Drosophila melanogaster: one gene and its partners. Each later gene encodes a partner of the first gene's protein in a complex. Each region holds a gene or a part of one and is shown on either strand. Other genes may lie near its edges. The genes, in order: Arpc2, Arp3 and Arp2.

Evidence for each region.
Region 2: Arpc2 (region 1) and Arp3 share a complex: the UniProt entries of both Drosophila melanogaster proteins name them as parts of the arp2/3 complex.
Region 3: Arpc2 (region 1) and Arp2 share a complex: the UniProt entries of both Drosophila melanogaster proteins name them as parts of the arp2/3 complex.

Annotation. Positions count from the first base shown.
Region 1 is NT_033779.5:20,414,906-20,423,232, reverse strand, and holds Arpc2 (Actin-related protein 2/3 complex, subunit 2), read right to left. Parts: upstream 6,177-8,327; 5' UTR 5,640-6,176; coding exon 5,566-5,639; intron 4,886-5,565; exon of another isoform or gene 4,752-4,885; intron 4,711-4,751; exon of another isoform or gene 4,579-4,710; intron 4,564-4,578; exon of another isoform or gene 4,429-4,563; intron 4,400-4,428; exon of another isoform or gene 4,266-4,399; intron 4,237-4,265; exon of another isoform or gene 4,100-4,236; intron 4,089-4,099; exon of another isoform or gene 3,952-4,088; intron 3,931-3,951; exon of another isoform or gene 3,803-3,930; intron 3,778-3,802; exon of another isoform or gene 3,648-3,777; intron 3,608-3,647; exon of another isoform or gene 3,477-3,607; intron 3,460-3,476; exon of another isoform or gene 3,325-3,459; intron 3,302-3,324; exon of another isoform or gene 3,168-3,301; intron 2,915-3,167; coding exon 2,821-2,914; intron 2,744-2,820; coding exon 2,644-2,743; intron 2,586-2,643; coding exon 2,399-2,585; intron 2,337-2,398; coding exon 2,116-2,336; intron 2,083-2,115; exon of another isoform or gene 1,959-2,082; intron 1,930-1,958; exon of another isoform or gene 1,795-1,929; intron 1,759-1,794; exon of another isoform or gene 1,633-1,758; intron 1,617-1,632; and 13 more. Other genes in the region: CG15130 (uncharacterized protein), read left to right, coding at 1-48; CG10949 (uncharacterized protein), read left to right, coding at 6,529-7,069, 7,127-7,965. UniProt on the Drosophila melanogaster protein: Functions as actin-binding component of the Arp2/3 complex which is involved in regulation of actin polymerization and together with an activating nucleation-promoting factor (NPF) mediates the formation of branched actin networks.
Region 2 is NT_037436.4:8,112,510-8,117,928, reverse strand, and holds Arp3 (Actin-related protein 3), read left to right. Parts: upstream 1-2,026; 5' UTR 2,027-2,203; coding exon 2,204-2,247; intron 2,248-2,340; coding exon 2,341-2,521; intron 2,522-2,584; coding exon 2,585-2,899; intron 2,900-3,135; coding exon 3,136-3,672; intron 3,673-3,732; coding exon 3,733-3,816; intron 3,817-3,877; coding exon 3,878-3,973; 3' UTR 3,974-4,522; downstream 4,523-5,419. Other genes in the region: msk (moleskin), read right to left, coding at 1-333, 389-624, 1,400-1,489; Nulp1 (nuclear localized protein 1), read right to left, coding at 4,757-4,917, 5,215-5,419. UniProt on the Drosophila melanogaster protein: Functions as ATP-binding component of the Arp2/3 complex which is involved in regulation of actin polymerization and together with an activating nucleation-promoting factor (NPF) mediates the formation of branched actin networks.
Region 3 is NC_004354.4:16,548,162-16,556,098, reverse strand, and holds Arp2 (Actin-related protein 2), read left to right. Parts: upstream 1-2,147; 5' UTR 2,148-2,707; coding exon 2,708-2,755; intron 2,756-3,648; coding exon 3,649-3,759; intron 3,760-4,609; coding exon 4,610-4,624; intron 4,625-5,633; coding exon 5,634-5,849; intron 5,850-5,912; coding exon 5,913-6,122; intron 6,123-6,192; coding exon 6,193-6,621; intron 6,622-6,686; coding exon 6,687-6,857; 3' UTR 6,858-7,314; downstream 7,315-7,937. UniProt on the Drosophila melanogaster protein: Functions as ATP-binding component of the Arp2/3 complex which is involved in regulation of actin polymerization and together with an activating nucleation-promoting factor (NPF) mediates the formation of branched actin networks.

The DNA of each region.
Region 1 (8,327 bases):
AGCATGGAGAGCATGAACGCGAAGCAGAATGTTAAGTTTAAGATCTAAGTGCCTGTTATAGTATTGTGCAGCGGAGATGGTATACCTAAGCGAAATATTAGTAACATTTAAGACATTATGTGCAATTAAAAGCTAATAAGCTAGAAAATAAAGTGTATTCGAGCGTCTGCAGCTAGCTAGAGATTAAAAGAGTGTCCCTTTTTTTATTTTACATTGCAGTTTGATTTTCTCGTTTTTATTAATTCCGATTGCTGTATCAAAGGTTTGTTAATATTTGCAGTACGTTTTTAAATGCGCTTTCTACACATACAGGCTAATTGCGGGGATGAATCCTCCATTGCGACTATATAACAAGTTGGTGGCATCCCTTAGTCGTGTTGCTCGCTTTGACATGGTAGTTTTAGTTCTCATGTTGCACTTAAGTCTACGTTTATTTGTTTAAAATGCGGCTCAGCTGTGGCGCTGACTCGGCCTATGACTGTAACAAATTGGCGGAGACACGGATTTGACGATGACTCGACACAAACACACACAATTCATTTACTAACGCGTAACTATTAATTCTTTGATCATTATTTTGCTGAGCTTACATTTAGCCTTACGGTTCTGTTTGGAATACTTGGGTTTGTCTTGCAATCTGGTTTAGTTTATGTTGGATTCACCATTCGGATATCGAATTTTAATACACAATTTATTTTTTGTATTTATATAAAAACAACTAAATATACTGAACACATCAATCGATGCGCTTGAAAGTTCTCCCCCTGCAAAAAGAACACGAGTTAGTAATCAGAATTCGTTATGGAAAGTCCAATGCTCACGTTATAGTTTTCTTCTCCGTGTTTTTGGGCTCTGGCCTTGCACGATTTAGCACCTTGAGGAAATCCGAGGTTTTTGCTCGCATGCGCGAATGAATGTAAGCCTTTGAACACTGCTCAAAAATGCATATTTCAAATATATAAAAGATATTTTTGCATAGCTGCATACAACACTTACCTTAATGTGGTAGTGCAAGTAATCTCGGAACATGTGAATTAAGTTAATGGTATTGTCCCTTGTTTCTTTGTTGGTATGCCGAGGGAAGAGTACTGCAAAAAACAAGTATGAGTCGTTACTATTTTGTTTCTTTTGGATATTTCAAAGTGTAACATCGGTTCAATTCTAAGAAGTACTGTACACAAACACAAGTCATCTGCGATAATATGATTGATTATTCAGGATGCCGTTCGTCTACTTATTTAATATTGGAGCATTAGAGACACAAATTGAAGGAAGGTATACAAAATATGCCACTTTAACTCCATTGGGATTACATTAGCTGTGCACTGTGCACCAAAGAAATCATCCAAGGAAATATAAGACTGCTTCGGATGATTCGATCGAATATATTGATTTTGGAGCATTGTAGACACGAAAACGATAATATTGTTAACATGTAAACTTTGTCTCCATTTAAAAAAGGCAGTCTAAGATATTCTTTTACTGTACACAAACACAAGTCATCTGCTATAATATGATTGATTATTCAGGATGCCGATTGTCTATTTATTTAATATTGGAGCTTTAGAGACACAGATTTAGGGTAAGTATTAAAAATATGCCACTTTAACTCCATATGGAATATACTGACATTTTTGTAACGAAAGAAATCATCCAAGGAAATATAAGACTGCTTTGGATAATTGGATCGGATATTGATTTCGGAGCATTGTAGACATAAAAACGATAATACTGTTAAAATGTAAACTTTGTCTCCACTGAACAATTCAGCTTGGGGATTCTGGGTTGGTGTGTTACTGTACACAAACACAAGTCATCTGCTATAATATGATTGATTATTCAGGATGCCGTTCGCATATCTTGTTGATATTGGAGCATTTGAGACACAATTCAAATTGTAATTTAAAACATGCCACTTTGACTCCACAGGTGACTTTAATGCATTATTGTGCGCGGAAGTATTTATCATTGGATATATTTATAAACTAGAATGTTCAAGATGATTTTAACGATACTATTTATATGGAGCCTTGTAGACATGGAAAAGACAAATGCACTTTAACGTGTAAACTTTGGCTCCACAGCACATGGTTTACCATTCAACCTTTAACATACCGAATGTGACATAGCCAATGTTGTCGCCCACCCTAGCGTCCGTGTTGGCCAATTCCAATGGTGGTTCTCGGTGCGAAAAGAGCACTTGTGGTGCGGTGTGCGAGGCACGCCGACCTTCCCTCAATTCCTGCATAAATACTTTGCCGATAATGACATCGTCTTCGTCCCGGAAAATGGTACTAAAGACGACGGTGACACGATCAGGCTTGGCTTCCACATATCTGCAAATCGATTGTAGATTGTCAGCGCTTGGACGAGTCAAAAACATATTTTTCTGACTTACAAAGTCTCATCGTTGCGGTAGTTAATGACGGCACGCTTTTGGCCCTCTTCGCCCTGCTCCTGATAGTCAAAATACTTTTCAAAAACCGATGCGAAACAGTTGCGCTTCAGCAGTCCGATTCTCTTTGCGATTTGCTCGCAGTCCTCGGGAATCTCCTCCAGGTTGATAAGTACGGAAACATTGTAGCCTGCAATTAGACGAGAGTAATTAACTTCTTTAAATGCCGAACTTAAACACGAACGTACCTTCTTCCGTGTCTGTAAGCAGACTGCCATATTCACGCTTCAGCAACTCGTCGGCTCCATGTTCTTGCAGCTGTTTGTAGAACTTCAGCGATATGCTGATCTGTTTCGCAGCCCAAGAAAAGTGAGAAATCGTTAATGTTGGATTTATCCTAAATGAATAGTACGCGGTACACTTACCCGAACTTTTGTTTTATCGCCATTCACATTGGAAATGTGATAAAGGACGCCGTCGAAGTCTGCTATTCGTATGTCTATCGATTCAGGCTTCAGTCTGGAAAGAGAATTAAAAAGTAAATTCTCATTTATTTTCTTGCTTATTAGTCATGCTCCCCACACTCCACCGTATCTTATCACATAAACTCGTTTATACCCGATTATTTTTCCAAAAGAAACCAGCAGCAATAAAATTATATTTTGCGTTTTCGAATAAATTAAAACATCCGTATGTATTTGTATCTGGATCGCTAAGCCGATATCTAAATTTAGTTTAATTCAATTACAAGAACTAAACAAATATTTCTGAATAATGTACACGAACTCAAGTCATCTATTGTGATATGTAGGATCAAACAGGATGCCGTTCGTTTGTATAATTAGTATCGGAGCATTAGAGACACAAATTGGATAAAAGTTCCAAGGCATGCCACTTTGGCTCCTAAATCGTACTTTGCGATCTTAAAGCGATTGTGCGCGAACTCAAGTCATCTGATGTAATATTATTAATTACTCAGGATGCCGTTCGCCAACCAAGTTGATTTGGGAGTGTTTGAGACACAGGCAGGTTTATATATCCCGAGAATGCCACTTTACCTCCACGACATACATATCTATAAATATGTGCACGAATTAAATGCATCCACAGCAAAAATATTGAATGCCAAGGATGATTTAAACGAACATTTGCTCTTGGAGCATTGTAGACACGAAAAAGATCTTATCCTTAGCATGTAAACTTTGTCTCCGAAGACGGGAGTCTTATAAAGGAATGTAAAGCTATCAGGAGCTATTGTAGGCGAACACAAGTCATCTGTTATAATATGCATAATTATTCAGGATGCCGTTCGCCTTTGCATTTGATATTGGAGCATTTGAGACACAAATAAAAATGGATTAAGTGTGCCACTTTGACTCCAATCCATTTTCATATGAACAACGAATGTATTGTGAACGAATGTATTTATCTATGGAAATATAATTATATCCAAGATGATTTAGACGTTCAATTAATATTGGAGCATTGTAGACACGGAAAAGAAAAATACTTTAGCATGTAAACTTTTTCTCCATATGACTATTGAAGCATTTTGAAGTTGTGCACGAACACAAGTCGTCTGTCTTAATATAAGTAATTAAACAGGATGCCGTTCGCTTATAAAATTGATATTGGAGCGATAGAGACACAGATCAAAGGAAAGCTATAAAATATGCCACTTTAACTCCACCCAAATATTTAATTAGTTGTTGTGCAGTTGGCAACCATCTTAGGCAATAAAATAAATCGAATAAGACGATTTAAACGAACAATTTATTTTGGAGCATTGTAGACACGAAAAAGAAGCCACATCATCTTCAACATGTAAACTTTGTCTCCCGAGGCATTATTGGTCTAATAAATCGAATACTATTGTAGTCGAACACAAGTCATCTGCTATAATATGATTGATTATTCAGGATGCCGTTCGTCCTTTCGTTTGATATTGGAGCATTTGAGACACAAGTTACAGGAAGATCGTAAGACGTGCCACTTTGACTCCAGAATATTACAAAAGTTGAACATTTTATGGCAAATGTACACGAACACAAGTCATCTGTTATAATATGATTGATTATTCAGGATGCCGTTCGTCTTTCTAGTTAATGTTGGAGCTTTTGAGACACAGATCAAATATTGTTTTTGAAGAATGCCACTTTGGCTCCAAAGCCTAAAATTTGCAATAATGTACACGAAAGTATTTATCTTAAGAAACAAAAAGAATTACTCAAGATGATTTAAGCGTTACAATTTATATCGGAGCGTTGTAGACACGGAAAATGGAGAATCTTTAGCATGTAAACTTTGTCTCCCAAGAATACAGATAATAGGGGAGTAATATTGAAACTATTAGTTTTTATGTACACGAACACAAGTCATCTGCTATAATATGATTGATTATTCAGGATGCCGTTCGTCCTTTTGGTTTATTTTGGAACATTTGAGACACAACAGGAGATTTTTTCCAAGTATGCCACTTTTGTTCCACAATTTATAACTTTTATTGCCTTAATTTCAGGCATTACACTGCAATCTTATCGGGAATAAACTAATGGCATCATAACTATTAGCATTTAAATACATTTATTTATGTGAGATCTTAATCATTCGCTACCAAACACAAATACCTCTTTCTGCTGATAGTGCTGTTAGTACAATAAGTTATTTTACTAATTTTAATAATTTTGTTAGTCTGTAAGCTTCGTCTAAGCTTCTTCTAAACCGTTTAGCTTAAACATATTTCTTTCGTAACACGACTCCTTTGATAATGTTTCTTCAATAATAATATCCTTTTTCGGGATTAGGAACAAATAAATACTAATATTTTCGATCATCACAAGCGTATGCGTTTGAATGCACGTCAATGGATGAGTCAGTTTTGCAGATTTTCAGCACCGATGATGCGAATAGCGAGTTGTAATGAATTAACTAATACGCTGTCGACGTAAGGGGGCTGCACTGTACTTGGGTACGTGTGTGGGAGGGAGAGAGCTGCAGCGATGAGTGTTCCAAGGCTGGAACTACACCCAAATTTATTCCCGAGGAAAGAGAGAGCTAACGAAATTGATAACAAAGCCGACTGGTGATAACAGAACGGTGGGGAATGCAGCATAGAAATCAAAATGGTGGAATGGAAATTGGGGAAACGGGACTGGAAGGCATTGACTTACCCAGCCTGGGCATTACGGTATTTGACCAGCAGCGTCTCCTCGATAATCCGATTATTGATTTCCAGCAGGATCATGGCGGTTGAAGTTAACTGTTATTTTTAGTGTGCCAATTTCGATGACAAATTATATGACGTTGACTGCCGCTAATGGTGCTGCTGCTCGCTGCTTCTTCTTCTGCCGCTCCCTGCGCTCTTTCTGCGCTCCGTTGAGTGCGAGTAAGACGGTGCGCTGCTCCAACTCACCAATACTGGTGCATGACGGGCGTATTAATGAATCAACAACAAAAAATGGGCGCTGATGTCGGCTTTTTTGGTCCGTCACACACACATGGACGCACTCTCGCCACACACACGGGCGAATTCCAATGCTCACACACACAGTTGCAAGAAAATCCACCTTATCCTCTTTTCGCGCCTCCAATTTCCAATCGCCAGTACTTGCAGCGCGCACGATGCAGTGCAAAATCGGTCTCAGACCGTAATACTTATAAAATTATAACAAAACGTGGATGGAAAACGGGGAGCACGCTGCCGTATTTTCCTTGCTCACAGCGTTGCCAGGTAGCACAATAGAGATGGGGCAAACTCACCGATGGAAAGATTGAAGTATCGAGCTATCGACCATCAATGTTATCAGGTTACACAGAAATTCAAACCAGCAGATTTTAACAAACATAAAGAGAATTTTCTTTAAAATATATAAAATAGAATATATTTTAAACGAAATTCGTACACACGAACTTTAAATTATAAATATGTATTAAGACATTTTAAGACAAACACACAAATATTTTATTTAACATTGTTATAATAACGGTGCTATAAAACTAAGAGGCACATTTTTTTAACAGAATAATCTGGCAGCCCTTTTTGTGCGATGACCCATCGCCTATCGACTATCAATATTTCCCGCCAGGCTGCCGGATCGTTCAGAATAAATAAAAACAAATAATAGCGAAAATCAATGGACGACGATGAGCTGATTAAATTGATAGAGAGACACCCGATCCTGTACGACAAGGACTGCGCGAGGAGCGTGAAGAATGCGGCGCAAAAGGACGCGGCCTGGAAGGCCATCTCCCAGAAGTTAGGAGCCTCGGAACGGGCGTGCATTACGCGCTGGAAGAGCATTCGCGATCGTTTCGGCAAGGAGTTTCGCCGTTTCCAGGAGCGTCCGGATGAGCCCACCTACTGGGACATGTTTCCGCGACTGCTCTTTCTCAAGGATCACTACAAACAGGGACTGGCAAGGAACGAGAGTCTCGACGGGATGCGTTTTGAGCCCAGGGAGCGGAAAAAGCGCACAAAAGTGGACATGGAGCAGGAGAGGCGGAGAAAGGACGAGGAGGAGGAGGACTCCCAGGATGACCTGCTGAACGAGCAGCTCATTGAGCTGGTCAAGTCTCATCCCGTGCTGTATGATCGTCACAAGATCAGAGTCTCCAAGAACCTAGCAGCGAAAAACGAAGCCTGGCGAGAGATTTCTGAAAACCTAAATGTGTCGGGTGAGCTCGGGGTAACCCTCTTGATCTTCAGCCCTTAATGCCGATAATTTTCAATAGAGGAACTTTGCTACAACCGCTGGAAGAAGCTGCGTGATCGTTTCGGGCGGGAGTTCCGCAGTCATCAGATCAACCAGTCCACGCCCATCACGTGGAGGTACTTTAACGACCTTCTCTTTCTGGGCCGCCACTTCCGCAAAGGAGTGCCCCTGGTTTTGGAGAACATCAAGCGACGTGGACGACCACCCAAAGCAGGAAATCCTTCGGGAAAGACCAGCAAACAGCCGGAGGGAATGGTGATCTCCAGTGGTGAGCAAATCTGGGGCGCTGATTACCCCTACAGTACGGACAACGACGATCTGGAGGATGATCTTGAGTTGGCCTACGATGAAGAGATTGAGATACTATCGGAGGCGGAGCAAGCAACGCCGTACGATTTTATCCTCAGCGAAGCGACGGCACGGCAGGACTTGGAGCCACCACAGCAGCTCCAGGTGACCACCACCACGCCGGCCACCAGTGAGGAAATAATTCACACAATCGCCAGGGTAAATCCCGTCGTAGAGGAGTCCTCCTCTCTCCCTGGGGACTCTGTACCGTCTGCCGCCATCTCCGACAAACTGTTGACCACCGTGATTGCCAACATGGAGACCGTGCTTCAGCAATCCCGGGAGCTGCAGGCCCAGATTCACCACGAACAGGAGCAGGAGCGAGAACAGCGAAGTACACAGCCTGCCAACAGCCTGCTTGCCAAGGCTCAGATGCTGCTGGACGGACTGAGTCCGTCTGAGCGGGCAAGTGCCGAGCGTAAGATCGTGCAGTTCCTGTGCCAGTGCCAAATCAAAGCCCTCGATGGCGAGGAGATCGAGGATGTGGCACCTTGTCAGGTCATTAACTGAAATTAGAATGTTGTAGATTAGCTGCAAAAGTATTACGAAGAAGGGTTATTACATAAGTGTAAGCATGAAAATATCTGTAAATAAATAAACTTACTAAATATTGTGGCTCAAAAGGCAATATTGAAAAAGAAAGGTTTGAATATTTGTAGATTTCAAATTGAGTTGTTTAAATTACCAGTGCTGAAAAGCATTGAAATGCGTAACCACAACCATCGCCATCAAACGCTACCCGCCACCAGAGGGCGCTGAATTATTCAAATATTTCGGTTACGCGAAAATTAGAAACAAACATTTCATACCGACCAAAAACAAAAAACAGAAATAAATAAAAGCGCCCACGCCGACACCATTTATTGCAATTA
Region 2 (5,419 bases), on another chromosome or scaffold:
TCCAGTGGAAGGGTGTATTGCGTGAGGGCATAGTAGATCTTGAGAATTTGCTTTTGTAGCAGCACAGATTGCTCGGACTGCTCTGCCAGCAGTCGGACCATCAGCTGGTAGATCATGGGCAACAGTAGGTTCATTGCCTCGTTTAGCGGCGTCCTCTCCTCATGCCGCTTGTACTCGTAGGTCTTGACCAGCTGGTACATGGTTACCAGAGCTCCGTTCCAGCCGTTGACATCCTGGTTTTGCAGATATATGCTGATGCTATCCACCACCTGTGGCCAGCGTCCAGGGAAATCGCTTTTAATGATGTGATTGACGCAGACAGACAACTGGACCCTGTGTACAGAACGAAATTAGCCCCCTGGAAAGGATTTTCAATGGATTTACCCACCTAATCAACTCGGGGGCGTGCACAATAGCATCTACAATAGCGCCACGGATCATAGCCCGATCCTGTTCGTGTATAGAGAAGGGTATTGGCTCTCCAGGCTTGGCCTCGTGGTCCGACCAGCTGCTGTTGATCAGATTCTTGAGGTAGACAGCACCGGCCTGGCGCACCGGCTGTTCCACCGTCGTCTGCATAACGATCTGCAGTATGGTGGGCACAAATCCGATGATTTTGTGTATCTGTGGGGATTTTAATGTATAGAAATAAAATAGAATGGATATGTTTACACAGCTGTTTGGGGTTGGGTTAAATTTGAATTGGTCAAAGAATCAATGGCAGAAGCACTTTAAATTCCGTTCACAGAGCTCAATTAATATGGAGGAGCCAAGAACAACTGCTGGCCATAAGCGCTGATAAAGTTAATTGACAACAGGGGGGTTGGTGGGAGGCGATTGGGAGGGGCATGCAAATCGTTAGATGCTGACTCAGTCGTAATGAGCATGCCTCTACAGTGGGGCCAAAGCAATTGGTTAGTGGGGTGGGGTCTAATTAGACTGGCCGCTCTGATTGCCCACATTTATTTCCAAGGGAATTGCGTAAGCTTCAATCAAAGGGCATTCCGGCGATATTTCGAAAGTCTCAATTAAATATTTATTAACAATTCAGTGGATTTCCGAAGAATCACACGAAACTCGCAATAAATATGTACACATATAGAAATATATATAGCATACATACATATGTAGGTGCCCCAAAGATATCGACTTGTTGCCTCTGGGGCAACAACATAGAAGTCGGGATAATGGTAAACACATAAAGGGCAAACTTTTTGACCGATATCGGATTACACTATCCACACCCACACACTTGTACAACGACCAGAGTGATGAAGTGCGGGAGCGAGGGAGGTTAAAAGCGAACAATTAAAAAAGCACATGGTTTTCAGGCGATGGCGCCACCTCCAAAGACCTTTCGAATTCAAGTGCAGGCGTTTATTTTTGGGAGCAAACTCACCTGGGCCAGTTGATCCTCGGCCGCCTTGCGCTGTTCCGGATTCGGATCAATAGTTGCGCGCAACAGTTCCGTGAGTTTTTGTGCCTCCATTTTTGCTACTTTTGCTTGATTCTATGTTTCGCCGGTCTTTCTGCTGCACTTCGTCGTTTGGCGGTCACCTTGTGCCCACTGTGCACCCGCTGTTCTTGCCTTTATATAGACCTTGGTTTATGCTAGCCGAACCAGTGGCTCCAATGTGTGGGCCAAATTGCAAATCTCTTTTTCCGGAGGAAAAAACGTGGAAAAGACTCCACACACGCACACACACACCGCCGAAATTCGCGAGACGAACGAAGCTTAGAAGAAGAAGAAACAGCGCCTGTGTGTGTTGACTAACGCCGCAGTGTATGGGGCCCTACAGGGCTGCATTATGTTCGCCGGTAACAGTTTAGCCAAAAATTCGAGCAATATTGAAAAGCCTTCGCTGCGGAAAATCTAGGCACCATTTATATATAGACCACTTGCTTCATAAGGTAACTATATTTAAAGGCTTAAAAAACAGCGACTTTTCACAATTCCCGATAAATTGCCATTCAAGTTGCATGGCCAATCGATTGTTGCAGCCCTGGCAGCTGCTCGTACGTGAACACGCGAATGTGTGTGTGACGAAGAGCAAAGTGACACATAGTTGGAGGTGTGGTTGAAAATATATAGAAATCTGGGTTTATCTGCAACTGAAACGAAGGGAAATTTGTGTTAAAGGCGAGCGAAGATCGCAACTGAAGAGCTTTAACTGGCAGCAAGGCAAAAGGACGAGCAGCGACCATGGCAGGCAGGCTACCGGCATGCGTAATCGATGTGGGCACCGGGTGAGTTTTTAGTTTCGATTGCCCGTGGGGGTCTCCAATTGGACGGAAAGGAGGTCGACTGACTAACACTCTGCTTGTCTGCACATCCATCAGCTACTCCAAACTGGGATTTGCCGGGAATAAAGAGCCGCAGTTCATTATTCCCTCGGCGATTGCCATCAAGGAGTCGGCACGAGTGGGAGACACCAACACACGGCGCATCACAAAGGGCATCGAGGACCTGGACTTCTTCATCGGCGATGAGGCCTTCGATGCCACCGGCTACTCCATCAAGGTATGCTCTTGTATCTATGGTCATTAAGCAACCGACATCACATTTATCATTGCATTCCAATAGTATCCGGTGCGTCATGGTCTGGTGGAGGACTGGGACTTGATGGAGCGCTTTCTGGAGCAGTGCGTCTTTAAGTATCTGCGCGCCGAGCCTGAGGATCACTACTTCCTGCTGACTGAGCCGCCGCTAAATACGCCCGAAAATCGGGAGTACACCGCGGAGATAATGTTTGAGACGTTCAACGTTCCTGGTCTGTATATCGCCGTCCAGGCGGTGCTTGCCCTAGCCGCCAGTTGGGCCTCCCGGTCCGCAGAGGAGCGTACCCTTACAGGCATCGTGGTGGACAGCGGCGATGGAGTGACGCACGTCATACCCGTGGTAAGTAGCACAGATCTTATCTTATCAGCAGAGTTGGGTTGGCACTGGATTCGGTAAAAACTGTTTGAAAAGAGAACCCAAAACCGAAACAGTCGACGGATTTATTTAATAAATAAATAGCACATTCTGAGGCTATTATTAATACTACAGAATGTTATATTAAGAGGGAATTATTAAGATAAAATAGCGTATTAGTTATAACCATATAAATATATTAAGCTGTTTTTCATTTCTAGGCCGAGGGCTATGTGATCGGCTCCTGCATCAAGCACATTCCCATCGCGGGCCGCAATATCACCTCGTTCATCCAGAGCCTGCTACGCGAACGGGAGGTGGGCATTCCGCCGGAACAGAGCCTCGAGACTGCTAAAGCGATCAAGGAGAAGCACTGCTACATCTGTCCCGATATCGCCAAAGAATTTGCCAAGTACGACACGGAGCCGGGCAAGTGGATACGCAACTTTAGCGGCGTTAACACGGTAACCAAGGCGCCGTTCAATGTGGACGTGGGCTACGAGCGATTCCTGGGACCCGAGATCTTCTTCCATCCCGAGTTCTCAAACCCCGACTTTACCATTCCACTGTCGGAAATAGTGGATAATGTCATCCAAAACTGCCCAATCGATGTGCGGCGTCCTCTATACAATAACATTGTTCTGAGCGGTGGATCAACGATGTTCAAGGACTTCGGCAGGAGGTTGCAGCGAGATATCAAGCGATCGGTGGACACACGTCTCCGGATCAGCGAGAATTTGTCCGAGGGACGCATTAAGGTGGGTGATATCACAGCTGCTAATGAGTCATACTTCTTACTTTGATTATTTTTGTTACAGCCAAAACCCATTGATGTTCAGGTGATTACGCACCACATGCAGAGGTACGCCGTGTGGTTTGGAGGCAGCATGTTGGCTTCAACGGTAAGTTATAGTGGCCTAAGATCCGTAAAATCCTTTATCTCAATATTCTTCCCATTTCTAGCCCGAGTTCTATCAGGTGTGTCACACGAAGGCTGCCTACGAGGAGTATGGCCCCAGCATTTGCCGTCACAATCCCGTCTTTGGCACCATGACATAATTGATCCGATCCAATCGGCTTGCAGCAGTTATTTTTGATTTATTTTTCCATTTAAAATTGATTTATTGATTTATTCTCCAACTATATATATATATATATACATTGCGATTCGGTATTCCACGCTAAAGTATTAGTAATTATTCTTTTCTATATGTGTTTAGCTATTAACTCTGTGTAAATCAGTTTCGTTCTGTTTAATTTCGTGTGATTTTGTTAGGCTAACTATAAAGCAACAACTCCGATGTCTGCCAGTTCAACCCCCTATCTAAGGTGCATTATTTCTAGAAGTCGACTTTTATACCATACTCAAACACGATCACACACAGTCACACCGATCTAAGCTCTTGGAGAAATCCCGGCTCTATACACAATTAAATACGAAAACGCTCTACTTGTCATAGAAATATTTATAATTGCAATAACTGCAACCAATTCAAACACTGAATGAACAAAAAAGGAAAAACGAAAAGAAATATTGATGAGAAATCTGTTTGTTATATTGATAAGCGTAATTAAAAAGGCATTAAATAAATCAATAAAACATTCTTTAAGCTCAAACACTTTCGTCGCTTTCGATCTAAAGCTTTTACTGGAAAATTTTATTCAATGCATAAGTTACATATATATATTTTTTTGTGTTCAAATTGCTCTATGTATTGTATATATAAATTTTGTGACGGTGTCGCTAAGCTGAGAAAATAGCAAAAGGTGGTTTCCAAAAAACATGTCCCGAGCTAGAAATCCGAAACAACTTCGTTACGCCTCGCGTAATTGACAAACTGACTAGTCAATGTAGTCACTGGAGCCCTCCTCCTCGTCGTTGCTGCTCGTGGATTGTGCCGCCGCCGTTTCCGGCGAACGCAAGTGCTCTGCAATCCGGAAGTTTTGCAGGAAGTCTCGCATCGCGTCCATCATTAGCGTTAATGACTGCTGCAAACCAGCTTCTGCAATAATGTTGGAGGAGAAGTGTAACTACGATATCCGCTAGCGATTCTTTTGGAATTTCAGCATAATTTTAGGTTAGATTTTTGACGATTTTAAGAATGAGAAACAAAATATCGCTTTTAGCCAAGTTATTGAAACAAAAGCCAAAGCTTTAATACAATTTCGGGATATGAACGAAATTAAGCAAAGCCATAATACAACCAGCGAAACATATTCTAAGATTCATGCTCTGTGACGAAACGGGGGCGACAAAATCGGTTTTATCTCAAGATATTTTTAATAATGCTCATACGAACCTTCTCCTTCGCCAGCTACGCCGGCAGCTCCTTGTTCAATGCCCACTTCAATGTTAGCATCGCCTGCAGCTGCTCCCGCACCTGCTGCTGGTGCTGCTCCTTCTTGTAGCTGAGCATTTGCAGCTAGGTTGTTAATGTTAAACGAAGGCAAGAGCGATTGAAAGAACATTGACACAGAATTGTTCGTGTTCGTTGTGGGGCTGCT
Region 3 (7,937 bases), on another chromosome or scaffold:
AATGATGGCAATCAAGTTCTCAATTTGCGCCTACACCTCTTCCCAAAAACCGATGATATCAGCTTCTCCTTTATCACTAATCACAACCACTATCAATGCGAAATCAAAAGCTATAAGATATACCACATACATACTCACGCAAGAAATGCCTTCATCGAGATCATATTATCCACGAACCAAGAATATTAACGCTGTACTTTTGCTTCGACTCTTCAACCACCAATAATTGCATTGAACTCTAATCTAAATATTTATACAGATATATATATATATTATATACCGAGTTGGCATTGGAAAACAGTTAGTTTTAGTGATCTATGCACGTATCGTAACAATACCAAGATTAATTAAATCGTAGCTAAAAGAAACAAATCAAGGATGAGGCGGCAGTCGCAGAGTTTCCCTCTTAGCTTTTATAAAAAAAAAAAAGATGGAGAAATGGAAACAACTTACTCAACTAATTGAGAGATACACCATATTTATATAGATATATATATAGCGTTTTTTTTTTTTGTTAATCCTCCACCACAACTATATAATTATTGAAAGTTGATGAAAGCTGTTGGGCCGTTTAAGTTTCAGAGTTTCTGTTCTATATGTGGTTAAAATTGTTAATGTTGTTACACCGCAAATGCATACTTAGTTAGTTAGTCGAGTGAAATGGGAGTTCCCCCAAATCACATTTAATTGCAATAGTCTCGAGTATTGAACGCCAAGAACACCAATTCCATAGAATGATTGTATACACTCAGAAAATCAATCGGCATTTATGTTCGAAAATCGCCGCAAATATTTTCAACAAGTATGGGTTTTTACGGATTTAAAATAATGAAATTGAAAACTAAATTCCATATTGTTAGGCTATAAACAAATGTTTCTATTGATGGACAACATTTCAGGTATAATTTTTGAAAAACAACAAATATTTATTTCAATTGTTAATACCAAAATACGCATAGGTCAACAATTAAGTTTTAATTTTTTTTTTTTAATATAGTTTAATTATCAAAGAACTATACATTTTAAGCCATTAAACGTAGGCAATATTCAGATAATTTTCTGAAATAAATTAATTGTAAATTTTGGATTCTCTTAGGGCGATTTGCATTCCGAGTGTATCAAGAGCCATGGTAAATAATAAAGCTAAGAAGTATTAATAATTCTACACTATGTATGACTAACAATACATTTGCTTAGTTCCCTCGATAAAGAAAGTACATAACTATTGCATGAGGCATAGGCAAAACTTCCTGGCACATAGTAAAAGTAAATAATTGAATAGAACGGCTGAGGAGGAGATGAGTAGATTTTGATAATATGTACGTCAAGACCATGCCAACATACTTATGGGAACTATTTAAAAAGCATTAAAACGTTCAATATAACACATAATACCCAGACAAAAGCAGAATCAAAAAATGCGGGAACGAGACGGCTGCATGGTATATACATACATATATAAGACATTTCGCCTCTTAAAGCAATTATAAAGATAACAAATGAGTAACGTTTATTATATTATTAAATTATACATACATATACATACTATATAAACGGAATAAAATAAATCAGCAACAAACTTTCCATTTTATGGCGTTCGATCACTTAACTTTTTATCCTTGGGAGCAGTATTGTCAAGTTATCATTTTTCTTCTTAATTGCTTAAATTACAATTCTTTAAATACATGCATGTATTCAATGATGGCGCCAAATTTTGAACCTGTTTTAAGTCTTAATTCAAGAATATTTTTCCAAGTATGAGAGTGAACGAGAGGCAAGAGCGCAAACGAAAAATACCAGAAATCAATGTGAGTATTTTGAAATTTCAGCAATTGCCGAATTGGTTTTTCAAATAGATGTGATTAGTTGTTAAATTGCCAAATCTTTAATCCAATAATTTAATTAATAAAGTCTTAATTGAATTGAAATTGTTTTGTGTAAATCCTGTGCAAGTAACATATATTACTAATAAACTTGTATTTTTTAATCTTTTTTAAATTGTTAAAAGTGGCACACAGACTAGTAAACTTAATTAACAAATTTGTAAAATAATAAAAAAATATAATTGGATCTAGTATCTAAACGGTTCTGGTATTTATTTTCGGTGTTTTGTACGCTTCAGTCCAACGCCGATAGTATCGAATATGCATCTATTTTTATTCAACTCTGGGGAGTAACGAGGGAGTTTTTGTACAGCAGTATAACTAAATTATAAGTATAAATAGTCGATAGCGGCAAACTGTTTCGGCCTAAATTTAATTGCGAGTCTAAATTAAGAGTTCAATTCCCAATAACCGCCAAACGAAGCGGCGATAAACGTAAGCGATAGAGTGGCGAAGAGAGCAAGGTTCCCGCCCGCGTGTTGTGAGAGTGTGCGAGTGGAAGAGGAAAGTGTATGATTAAGTACAATCGCTCTCCGGCGGTCCAAATACAAAAAAAGCCGAAAAGGAATCAATTAACAGTAGTGCTCAACAAACGGCCCAGGAAGTCAACAGGAAAGGCGATTGATGTGCAATATTTTGTTTGGTTTTATCGAGCAGAGGCGCTGCGAGCTGTGATTTCAAACCGAATCACAACCAACACCCAAAAAGGCAACCTGGTCGCGTCATCAGTGGAAGTGGAAAGGCAGTTGCCACAGCAGAGGCAGAAGCAACGGGAGTAGCAGAAGCAGTGGTTTTCCAGAGATCCGGTTTTGAGTCCTTCAAGCATGGACAGCAAGGGTCGAAATGTTATCGTCTGTGATAACGGCACTGGGGTAAGATAACGGGAAAGTCACCACCCGCACCGCCCACATCACCCACAAGCGGTGAAAACAGAGCGCACACACCCACACCATCACCAACGACTGGTGTGTGACACACATTTCGAGTGTTGTTGGCTGCGCTTCTTTCGTTTTCTTCTTCTTGTGGACTAAGCAGCGCTTCTGCTGCTGCTGCTTATTTCACTGCTTGCTGGCCAGCGGGCGTTGACGTCGCGGTTAGTCAAGCAGTTGCAGCAGTTGCAATTACGCGATTGCCTCTTCCTCTCCTTTATATTCCGCTTCCCCACTCTTCTTCTTGCTCTCCGCTTGACTAATCAGTGGATTACTCACGATTCCAGCGTTACTCAGTATCTCCCACACCTACATATTTGTCGAAAGAGCGACACTGGCACACACCAACACTTCCATAAAATTTCCGACAATCAGTTCTTATCGCAGGCCCAGAATTTTTGTATTGTGATAACGGTCCGATTTCGATAAGCGTCCGATAAACCACAACAGTAAAAGCGCAAGCAAATGCTGCACCGAGAAAAATGATTTAGCTGGTCCTAAACCAAATAATCAAAACTAATTCAAAAATTTTTGTTTTGTGATAACGGTCCGAATTCGATAAGTCACAGCAGTAAAAACGCAAGGAAATGCTGCACCGGGAAAAATGATATAGCTGGTCTTAAACAAAATGATTAAAAATAATTATTTATTATTATTATGTGCAATTTTTAAGTACCTGTTGATACAAAAGCATTTTAAATTATCATATTACGTGTTAGGGCTTAACTCAAATAATAATATATGTACATATGTCGGCTGTCATATTATTTTAATGTGTTTCCACATACACCATAATATAAATATATGTATTTATGACATCTCCATTTATTTTTCAGTTCGTTAAGTGCGGATATGCCGGCAGCAATTTCCCCACCCACATTTTTCCCTCGATGGTGGGACGACCCATGATTCGGGCGGTCAACAAAATCGGCGATATCGAAGTCAAGGTATGATCCATCGTACTTACCAATTAAAGTATCTAAAATTAATTAACAATATGATGAGATAGTACAACCATATACACTACACAAATTCAATTGTGCACAGGCCATCAAATACACGAATATCCATATATTATATCATTTTTTTTTTCGATGTAACTACTCCATGACTAGTTAAACGGCAAGAAATACATTTAGCGCATAGAAGTTCACTATCCACCAAATTACCCACCATATTTTTTCACCCCTAACCCATCTGATTTTGGAGTGGAATTGCTCTATTTTCTATTCTGTCTATTAGTGTCGCATATCTACTTACTTCTATATAATTTGTTTTCGATCTACCCCATTCGCATATCGTTTCATTTACCATCTTGATTTCATCACTTCTGGGGGTCACTTATCCCAATATTGCATTTTTGCTTGAGTTGCATTGGTCTCGGTGTGTGGGCCCTCATATTATTATACACATGCATACAAAATATATAAATATATATTATGGTAAATATATCATGCTAAAAGTTGGTCCGTGGATATCTGATTTTAACCAAGGTTTAGGCATAGCTTAATAAACTGTGGATATGGAGGCTGAACCCCGCAGACATTAAGCTTTTTTTTTTTTTGAGTGCATCACTTGATTTTCGATATATAGATCTTACTTAGAAGTTCTTTACTTTAGACAGAAGAAACATCAAATTAAGAATCATTAAGAACACATCTTGAATAGCAATAAAAAAAAAAACGATACAGAAAATAAATATTTTTAAAATTGTAATCTTTCTGTTCTTTTTTAATATTCTTATACATTTTTCTGTTCTTTTTTTCACATATATTTTTAAAAACAAATGTTTTGCAGGATTTACATGTCGATGTAAGTCAAGTTTGTATAGTTAAAAAAAAAACCAAAATCCAAACTACCACTACCAGAAATCTAATCACCAAGTAAACATAAAATAATAAAAATTTGTATACGATTGACACAATACGAAAATACCAAAAACCAAAATAACACACGCTTGGCAAAATATTGCGAAATTTTTTTGAAGTTCAAGCTGCGCACTTAGGATTTAATTAATTAATTAACTTAACTGTTAACTGTTCACATTTTTCACTAGTTGTTTGCCTTGAATATTTTCCCAACTATATTCCGGCCCCGTCCAACTATCTTGTTGCTTCCTTTTGGCCATCATCTATAATTGTACTCCATCCACAAAATCGACAAAATCCACAATCGAAAAAAAAAAATTAAAAAAAAAAACAAATCTATTAATTCTCATATCGGATAAATCTGAGGCGTGTTTAAAACCGAATTCCAATCGAATCTGTTCAATTTAACGACAAATTTACGTAAATATAATTTTTGTTATTTAAGTTTTACTCCTATGTTTTCATACCATTTGTTTCCTAGCTTACACCCTTTGGTTTTTTTTGTACATATCTTAAGGCAACCAAATTCAGTTGCTTCTCGTTTTAATTGTGATTTGCTGATTTGAAATTGTTATGTGTTCTCGTCTGCATGATGTCCTGTGTCTGCTTAGCCCTATTTTAATCCCCCGTTTGTTTTGCACGTCCCTGTGTTTGCCAGTGTTCCGGAAAGGCAAGTCCTTTTCCGCAACTACTCACACTCACTGCTGCCTCTTGTTAATCGTTGATTGTTTAGACGAGTTTAGTTGCATTCTTGTAGTGTGCTCGCTGTTATTGTGCCTAACACCTGTGTATGTCTCCCACACTAATGACTAACCATCCCAGCCTCTAAGCAAATACCCAACCAATCAACCATCCAACCAACCAAACAGTCCAAACCAATCCGAATCCCAATGGCTATCCATTGACCAAGCCACGGACACTAACGCTGCGTCCTCTGACGAACGAATTTACAGGATCTGATGGTCGGCGATGAGGCCTCACAGCTGCGATCCCTGCTGGAGGTCTCCTATCCGATGGAGAACGGTGTGGTGCGCAACTGGGACGACATGTGCCACGTGTGGGACTACACGTTCGGTCCCAAAAAGATGGACATCGATCCGACGAACACAAAAATCCTGCTAACCGAGCCGCCCATGAATCCCACAAAGAATCGCGAGAAGATGATTGAGGTGAGGTCATACCATATTTTAAAATCCCACTTCAAACTAACATTGTTGTGTTTGTGTTCACAGGTGATGTTCGAGAAATATGGCTTCGATTCGGCGTACATTGCCATCCAGGCCGTGCTGACGCTATATGCCCAGGGTCTGATCTCTGGCGTGGTGATCGATTCGGGCGATGGTGTAACGCATATATGTCCCGTCTACGAGGAGTTTGCCCTGCCCCATCTGACGCGACGATTGGACATTGCCGGTCGGGATATCACTCGCTATTTGATTAAGGTTGCTTTGCCTTACAATTACATATAGCCAAACTGTGACTTATACTTTCGCATCTATCTATGATCATTAGTTACTGTTACTACGTGGCTACGCTTTCAATCATTCCGCCGACTTCGAAACGGTTCGCATAATGAAGGAGAAGCTCTGCTACATTGGCTACGACATCGAGATGGAGCAGCGTTTGGCCCTGGAGACGACGGTGCTGGTGGAATCGTACACGCTACCCGACGGTCGTGTTATCAAGGTCGGTGGCGAGAGATTTGAGGCGCCAGAGGCTCTGTTCCAGCCGCATTTGATCAACGTCGAGGGACCGGGCATTGCGGAACTGGCCTTCAACACCATCCAGGCGGCAGACATCGACATACGGCCCGAACTCTACAAGCACATAGTTCTGTCCGGCGGCTCCACCATGTATCCGGGTCTTCCCAGTCGGCTGGAGCGTGAGATCAAACAGCTGTACCTGGAGCGGGTACTCAAGAACGATACGGAAAAGCTGGCGGTAAGTTGTCAAGTAAAGCTAATCAATGCACATCGTGTTTAACAAATTGAACGATTACATTGCAGAAATTCAAAATACGCATTGAGGATCCACCGCGACGCAAGGATATGGTCTTTATCGGCGGAGCTGTTCTGGCGGAGGTGACAAAGGATCGCGACGGCTTCTGGATGTCCAAGCAGGAGTATCAGGAACAGGGTCTCAAAGTATTGCAAAAGCTGCAAAAGATCAGTCACTAGAGGCGGATGGATGCGAAATCAGTGTGTGTGTGTGTGCGGACCGCAAGAAATAGGATAAAAAAGTGATAGATTTCTTTTCTCTATTTTCTATAGGTTTAAACCTTTCAGATTTACGTGATATATCCGTCTATATATGTTTTTTTTTTTGTGTGTGCCTGTGCGAGTGGGCGTGTCTGTTGAGCAGGATTGGTCCACTTGCCCTTAGATTATCTATAATCGCAGACATGTCGTCACTGGTCGTTATCCCCGTACAATATAATGTAATATTTCTTTGAGCGCGAAAACTTTAATTCGATAGTCGCCTAAATTGTGTAACCCTGCATTAGTGTGTTTAATTGTTTATAATTACGTCTAAAATTCAAACCCAAAAGCCCTTTTCTTTAATGAATACGCATATATAACTATATATATATACATATATAAATTCAAAGCACCTCGAGTGCGGCGATATTTTTGTAAACGCAAAATGTTTCATTTCCAGCGAGTATTTCACATTAAGTATTAACTAGGCCAAGTCTGCTAGTAGCAGCTACTAAAATCGTGTGTGTGTTAAGACAGAGACAGAGACAGAGGAAATATAACGAGGAAGTTGCATAGCACAGAAGGAGAAAGCGCGAGTTCGGTCGTTAACTAAATACACTGATTGATTCGATCCCGTCTCGCCTCCCGACACTCGACCTTAAAGTAAGCATTTCTGGATTGTCTCCAACTAGATAAAGATGAAGTTACCTACCCATAAAGATACAGATAATCGAAGTCACAAGATTACGCATTTACGTTGCCCCATAATCGAAAGTACCATCAGTCGAAGTGTTAAATTTGATTTAATTTCCTTACCTGCCTTTTCTAGTTAGTTGCAATTTGATGATTGTTGGGGTCGCAACTATCGGCATATGATGAATAGTATATACATATACATATGTGTGATCCATATACATATATCCGTATATGTAAAATGAATGTGGAATGCCAATTATGTAAGTGAATGCAATAAACGTAATTATGTATGATGTGTACTGTATACTGTAGTCTAAAACTAAATCGCATACGACTTTTTTATGGTTTTTTTTTTGCCAAATT